Linked DNA regions of Coturnix japonica. The protein of the gene in region 2 purifies or fractionates together with the protein of the main gene of each other region. This does not show direct contact. Links are inferred from orthologs where the notes say so. Each region holds a gene or a part of one and is shown on either strand. Other genes may lie near its edges.

The links.
Region 1: the proteins of MAD2L1 (region 2) and RNF8 purify together in Homo sapiens (co-immunoprecipitation; 3 studies listed by BioGRID and IntAct, with this or other methods). This does not show direct contact. The link is inferred for Coturnix japonica from reciprocal best matches to the Homo sapiens genes MAD2L1 and RNF8.

Annotation. Positions count from the first base shown.
Region 1 is NC_029518.1:27,124,839-27,128,583, reverse strand, and holds the start of RNF8 (E3 ubiquitin-protein ligase RNF8), read left to right. Parts: upstream 1-1,564; 5' UTR 1,565-1,652; intron 1,653-2,419; exon of another isoform or gene 2,420-2,804; 5' UTR 2,805-2,852; intron 2,853-3,047; 5' UTR 3,048-3,107; coding exon 3,108-3,176; intron 3,177-3,745. Other genes in the region: AARS2 (alanine--tRNA ligase, mitochondrial), read right to left, coding at 203-348, 937-1,125, 1,241-1,564. UniProt on the Homo sapiens protein: E3 ubiquitin-protein ligase that plays a key role in DNA damage signaling via 2 distinct roles: by mediating the 'Lys-63'-linked ubiquitination of histones H2A and H2AX and promoting the recruitment of DNA repair proteins at double-strand breaks (DSBs) sites, and by catalyzing 'Lys-48'-linked ubiquitination to remove target proteins from DNA damage sites.
Region 2 is NC_029519.1:48,826,535-48,830,279, forward strand, and holds the start of MAD2L1 (mitotic spindle assembly checkpoint protein MAD2A), read left to right. Parts: upstream 1-862; 5' UTR 863-924; coding exon 925-1,000; intron 1,001-1,159; coding exon 1,160-1,306; intron 1,307-1,394; coding exon 1,395-1,515; intron 1,516-2,915; coding exon 2,916-3,019; intron 3,020-3,606; coding exon 3,607-3,745. UniProt on the Homo sapiens protein: Component of the spindle-assembly checkpoint that prevents the onset of anaphase until all chromosomes are properly aligned at the metaphase plate.

The sequences.
Region 1 (3,745 bases), on a different chromosome or scaffold from region 2:
TAAGCAGCAGCTTAAGGGTAAAACGAGCCAGAGGATGAAGAGTCCAACTCTTCGTAACCCAAAGGAAGAAGAAACGAAATGAGTTTAAGACTCAATTTTTGGCTCCCATGTTTGTCTTCCATCAACTAATGAGCAAACGAGAGACTATGGAGACTGGGATGTCAATATCGCTTGCTCAGAGCCCCTTCTCTAGCATGCTTACCCCAAGCTGAGCCATACATCCCTGCACTCCTCATCTGCACCCAGCCCCAGTGAAGAGTCTCCACCAAAATATGTGACGTAGAGACGATCCTTTGGGATCTTGTAGACCTCTGTCAGGAGCTCCCAGGCCATGCTACACGCTTCCTCCTGAGCAGACAGGAATACAAAGGAAGCACAGGAACACAGAGTCGAATGAGACAAGGGGGTTCTTCAGAATGACAGTCAGGCACCAAATCAGCACGTCCCAGCTATCACAGAATCAAAGAATGATCCGGGTTGGAAGGGACCTCAAGGATCATGAAGCTCCAACCCCCCTGCCTGGCAGGGCCACCAAACATACACATTTACTAGATCAGGTTGCCCAGGNCCCGTCCAACCTGGTCTTGAACACCTCCAAGGACGGGGCATCCACAACCTCCCTGGGCAGCCTGTTCCAGGGCCTAACCACTCTCCTAGTAAAGAACTTCCCCCTAACATCCAACATAAATCTTCCCCCTTTCAACTTAAAACCATTTCCCCATGTCCTGCTATTGTCAGCCTTTTCCAAGAGTTTACTCCCCTCTTGGGTGTAGGTTCCCTTCAGGTATTGAAAGGCTGCAATGAGGTCACCCCGCAACCTTCTCTTCTCTAGGCTGAACAAACCCAACTCCCTCAGCCTGTCCTCATAGGGGAGGTGCTCCAGCCCCCTGATCATCTCCGTGGCCCTCCTCTGGACCCTTACTCTCGTCACCTCACCTTGAAGTAATCCCCGAAGGACCAGTTCCCCAGCATCTCGAAGAAGGTGTGGTGGTAGGTGTCACGGCCCACGTCCTCCAGGTCGTTGTGCTTCCCCCCGGCCCGCACGCATTTCTGGCTGTTCACCACCCGCCGCTGCTGTGCCAGCTCGCTGCGGGGATGCGCCGTGCCCAGGAAAACGGGCTTGAACTAGAGGGCATGAGGCAAAAACACCCACTATTGCCAGCTGTCACCCATGTTCGGCCCTCAAAGTATATGAGAGAGGGCATCCGGGCTGAGGGGGGAGGAAGGTCAGGGCCCGCACCTGGTTCATGCCCGAGTTGACGAAGAGGAGGGTCGGGTCGCCGCGGGGCCGCACGGGGGCGGAGGGCAGGAAGCGGTGGCCGTGCTTCTCCTGGAAGAAGCGGAGGAAGGCGGCGCGGATCTGTGCCGAGGGCGGGCAGGAGGCACCGCGACGGGGACAACGGGGCCAGGGCGGCCGGACTGCGAGCAGCGGGAGGCGCAGAGGACCGGCCGCCGCCATGTTGGCCGGGGCGGATGTCGGCACAGAGACTTCCGATGAAGCGGGGCCCGACGGGACAGCGGAGGAGCGCCGGGAGCCCACCCGGTGCGGGGCCCGGAGCGGCATGGCGGCGGGAGGCAGCTCGCGGCCCGCATGGTGCCTGCGGAGAGTCGGGGCGGGCGGCGGCTGGCTGCTGCTGGAGGCCGGCACGCAGGTCAGCGGGGCGAGGGACGTGGCCCTTGTGTGGTGGGAAGGCCTCCCAGAGCGGGTGTGGTGGAGCCTGGGGGTTAAACGAGGGGAAAGTCGAGGCCGGGCCGGCTGCTTTTAGCGCCGGTAACGTGGGAAGGGGTGGGGATGAGAACCAGGAACGGAGCTTAATTCCCTGCGTACCTCGCTGTTATGGGCCTTAACGTCAGCTCAGGTCTACAGAGAAGCTGCTTGTAGTACTGTAGTGTAAGAGGAAAAAGGCCTCTTTTACCGGGGCTAGCATTATGCAACGTAGTCGCTTTTCATGCTTCTGTTACCTAGGTTATGCTTTGCATTTGCTTCCATTGTATCTCAGTAGAACGTAGGGCATTCTCGAGCGTGTTTGGAGCTGGGAGGTGTGCACAAGCACTCAGTGACTGGTACGTGTTGCTGAGCGTGGAATGTAGCAGGCTTGCAGCACCGGGGTGACCTCATTGCAGCCTTTCAATACCTGAAGGGAACCTACACCCAGGAGGGGAGTAAACTCTTCGAAAGGGCTGACAATAGCAGGACATGGGGAAATGGTTTTAAGTTAAAAGAGGGAAGATTTAGGTTGGATGTTAGGGGGAAGTTCTTCACTAGGAGAGTGGTTATGCCCTGGAACAGGCTGCCCAGGGAGGTTGTGGATGCCCCGTCCTTGGAGGTGTTCAAGGCCAGGTTGGACGGGGCCCTGGGCAACCTGATGTAGTAAATGTGTATGTTTGGTGGCCCTGCCAGGCAGGGGGGTTGGAGCTTCATGATCCTTGAGGTCCCTTCCAACCCGGGTCATTCTGTGATTCTGTGCAGCACAGGCTGTATGAGCTGCATGGAGAATCTCGCTGAGGTGAAGCTCTGTTTGCTGCAGCACTGTGCTGTGTGGCAATCTCAGAGAGGGCGAATGGAGCTTTAAACAGCAGCCTGCAATTAGATCAGATTTAACAAGCTACAATGAAACCGTACTGTCACTTTATGCCTGCTTCTTGCAGAAGATGCTGTCGGATTCTGCTCAGATTATTTAGCTTACTTTCAGACTGGCTGTAAGCAGCACGTAGCTCAGGTATCATGCTTTAAGGGAACAATTGTATGTTGTTTTTTTACTTTAAATGACAGTTTTCTGTGCTATTTTTGTTCTCTGTCACAGAATCTTTCCTGTTTAGAGTTGCACAGATGCCGTTAGCTAAAGAAGAGGGTAAGACATATTTTGAGACCCACACTATTGCACTGGCTTGAAAAAATACTGTTTAGTTACTGTCCTCAACTCTTGGGTAATAGCTTTAAGATGCTAATCAAGGTAGATTTCTGCTGTACTTAGATTCAGCTCATATGAATTTTATTGACCGTTTTGTTGATTTTTTTTTTTTTGTTTCAACTGCTTTATTTTTAGGTAACTGTAGGCCGGGGATTAGATCTCACATACCAACTGGTGTCCAAAACCTGTCCCTTGATGATTTCTCGTAAGCACTGTGTTTTTCAGCAAAATGCAGAAGGGCAGTGGACTGTTAAGGATAATAAGGTACAGAGACTGACCGAAGACCTTTTACTCTTAGTTTTACTGTAGCCAGTGCTCTGTTTGGCATAAAAAAAACATATGATCTTCGTTTCTAATATGGTGTAAGTGTGATGGGAGGTTCATGGAAGCACATCATGTCTGTTGTGTGCTTGTAGCAGGAAGCTTTGGTCTGCTGCAGCTGGGATGCAGGCCTTAGTGCTTTCTGTATGTGGCCTTATCCCTTGGTCTACCATTTCCAGGCAATTACAGTCCTACGCAGGGCACTTTGCAGGCTGTGAACTTGCTCTGTGCTCCTTTAGTATAAAATAAGTAAATAATTTACATTCAAGAAGATAAATGTTTTCGTACTGCAAAGAAAAGGATACACTGATACTGCAGTGACTAAATTGCTTTGTTTATAACCAATGACAGTGAAAATCTGTTAGAAAGAAAAGCATGCTTTGCATTGTCCTCAAATATATTCAGGTTCTCCTCAGCTGAGTAGAATGTAGAGAAAGTGTTGAGATCAGAGTCTACAGCGAGGTCTGTCTTTTCCAGTGGTGATCTGTATTGTTTTTTAATCACGAGCTCTG
Region 2 (3,745 bases):
GAATAATAAATATATATATGTGTGTGTCATATCAAAATGTAATTGAGAAACACAGCAATGACTAAAGAATCATAAGAGAACCAAATTAAATGCAACTGGGATTTCACATTCCTTCTGAAAATTAAGGCTTTAGCATGAGATAATTAAAGCAAGGACGGCCAACTCGTGATGTGCCAGAACGTATAACTCAGTCTGTCATCTGCATTGCCGAGTCCCCGCGAGCTGCTCAGGAAGCGGGCTGTCAGACACACCGCTCCCTCACCCACAGCACTATCCCCACTGCTCCCCGTGACAGCCCCACAGCCTCCTGCTTGTCACGCAGCTGGACATGCCCTAAATGTGAACTACAGGCATCAGCAGCACATGGAAAAGCTCCTCATCCGCCTCTGCCAAAACACGGAGAAACCAATTTGTGTTGAAGCAGATCAGCTACCTGCAACGGGAGACCCTTAAGAATCCACCAGAGCGCTGAGGAGCCGCACTTCGCTTCTATGAGCGCTGGGTTTGTCTATTCCACCGGGTCTAACTACAATGGCGCAGCGGAGGCGGCTCGTAGGGAACCTCGGAGGGAGAAAAGCACGAGAAAATCCCAGAGTGGGAAAGGAAGGGCTCTGAGAGCGCTCTGGGACGGGAATAGCGCAGGGGCTGAAGGAGAATAGCGGGTATTAACAGCAATCCGACTGCTAAACGCTGAGCGGGGCGGCTTTCGTACTGAGCACAACCAGAAATAGCCCAGAGAAGAGGCAGCACCTCCATAAGGACACACGCACCCAACGGCACCTGACGGGACGCACCCACACACCGCAAACCCCGCCCGCCAACGGCCGCACCCCGCGCATGCGCAGCACGGCATCCCGCCTGCTCAGCCCTCGCAGTCGGCCGGAAGGGGCGGGGCGTGATTTGAAGCGGGCGGCGGGCACCGCCATGGCCGCGCAGCTGGGCCGCGAGCAGCAGGGAATCACCCTGCGGGGCAGCGCGGAGATCGTCGCCGAGTTTTTCTGTAAGGGGCTGCGGGCCGCCCAGGGGTGCGGGGAGACGGGGGCGGGTTGGGGGGAAAAAGGCGGGCGGGCGGCTGGCTCTAATGCCGCGGCCGACATGGCCGCCTGTAGGGCGGGAGGGGTGGCCCCCTTACAGAAGCCTCCCCGCTTTGTGCGCGCAGCTTATGGCATCAACAGCATCCTGTACCAGCGGGGCATCTACCCCCCTGAGACCTTCACCCGCGTCCAGAAGTACGGCCTTACCCTGCTCGTCACCACCGACCCCGAGCTGAAGAACTACCTCAACAACGTGGTGGAGCAGATGAAAGGTGAGACCTGCCCCCCCCCGCTTCCCGTCCCCTTTTCTCCTTCCCCTTTTTCTCATACAGCCGTAGTAAATGCTGCGGCCTCTTCCAGAGTGGCTTTATAAGTGCACCGTGCAGCGCCTGGTGGTGGTCATCTCCAGCATTGAGAACAATGAGGTACTGGAGCGGTGGCAGTTTGACATTGAATGTGACAAGAGCGCCAAGGGTGAAAGGTGAGTGACAGCGTTTCTGTGCCTGCTTCTCCCTGTTGGGAGACACAAGGGAAAGACCAAGTATGGTAGTGCTACCTCTGTAACCTAAGAGCTATCTGACGTTACCAAATAAAGCTGTGGGTGCCATTGATGTGCTCCAGGGACTGGATGCAATCCAGGGGGACCTGAACAGGCTGAGCAGTGGGCCCAAGTGAGCTTCATGTGATTCCACAAAGCTAAGAGCAAGGTATTATACCTGGGTTGGGGCAACCCCTGCTTTCAGTACAATCTGGGGGACATAAGAATGGCGCACAACCCTGCTGAAAAGGTCTTGGTGGCAAGCTGGACATGAAGCCTGAAATCATAGAATTACCCAGGTTGGAAAAGACCTTGAACATCATCAAGTCCAACCGCAGCCTAACCAGTACCCTGACTCTAAAAACCCTACACTAAATCATATCCCTGAGTAGGGATATGACCTAACAGCCCAGAAAGCCAACTGTATCCAGGGCCACATCCAAAGAATTGTGCATGGTCAGCAGGGTAAGGGACGTTATCCTGCCTGTATGCTCTGCGCTGGTGAGCCATCACCTGGAGTACTGCATCCAGATTGAGAATTCTCAGTACAGGAGAGACATGGAGCTGTTGGAGTGTGTCCAGAGGAGGGCCACAAAAATGGTCCCAGGGACAGAACAACTCTCCTGTGAGGATAGTCTGAGAGAGCTGAGGTGTTTAGCCTGGGGAAGGCTTAGGGGAGACCAGAGAGCAGCCTTTCAGTATTTTGAGGGGGGGCTATGTGAAAGAAGCTGACAGACTTGTCAGGGCACAGGGTGTGATAAGAGTGAAGTGTTTCGCTAAAAGAAGTGAGGTTTAGATTGGATATAAGGAGGAAATAAGTTTTTTGGCTTGTTTTTGTTTGTTTGTTTCTTTTTTTACAATAAGAGTGGTGAGGCACTGGCACAGTTCATCCAGAGTAGTAGTAGATTCCCCATCCTTGGAGCCACTCAAGGTCAGGCTGGCAGGACTGAGCAATCTTGTGGATCTGTAGGTGACTGTTTATTGCAGGAGAGTTGGAATACATAACAATTAGAGGTCCCTTCCAACTCAAATGATTCCATCATTCAGTTATCAAAATGTTTTGTAATCTGCAACTGAACAAAGTCCTGTATTACTGCTCTTCTGCTGTTTTGCCAAAACTCTCACCCAACCCAGACAGCAAATATGTCCTTAAAAACACTGCGAGGTTTCACAAACAACAAATTGAAAGTTACAGTTTTGTGAGCCTAAGGCTTGAAAGAATGCTTCTGCATAACCATACAGCAAACATACCCCACAGCAGTGCAGCAAGAACTGTGTTTAAAGAAAGCTGTCAGTATTGGAGGTGCAAGTTGTTTTCTTAAAGAGTTTTCTCATTTTTCCAGCGCACCCCGAGACAAATCTCAGAAAGCCATTCAGGATGAAATTCGATCTGTTATCAGACAAATCACTGCCACGGTAACTTTTCTGCCTCTCCTGGAAACTGCCTGTGAGTATTTGTAACTTCTCCGAAAGAAATGACACTTCTTTCAGAAAGCCTGAACTAGCATTTGATTGTAGAAAATCTTTTCCACTATTCTGTTTTTATTATTATTATTTGAAGTGTCATGTATTGCATTTCTGGGTATATGTTTGGTTAGACCAAGACAGTCTCAGCTATGTACAGTATAGAAGCAGCATCAGATAAAGTACTCTAAGTATTGTCCTGTACTGCTTCTTGTACAACAAACTGAAAAAGAACTGCTACTGTAAATACTGTGCTCTCTTTCAATCAAGCACTTGGAGCAACTTCATTGGAAGTTAAACTCTTAAACTCGTTTTTTCCCCAAAAGGTGCAATTCAAGGTGATTTAAGTAGCTTGAAGAAACTTGGTGTATCTGAGGACCTACAGCTGTCATAAATATTGCGACTACAGGAATGATAACTAGTATTTGTTTTCATTCCTTTAACTGCCATTTCTTTTTCTATAGATGCCATAACTACTGATAACCTTCTTGCATGTCTCCATGCGTTTTAACTTCAATTATGGTATCATTCCTATGTGTGTAGCATTAACTTTTTCCCACCTGCTTACAGGTGCCTTTGACTTGCTGATTTACACAGATAAAGATTTGGTAGTGCCAGAAAAGTGGGAAGAGTCAGGACCACAATTCATTGCCAATTCAGAAGAGGTTCGTCTTCGTTCCTTCACTACCACGATCCATAAAGTCAACAG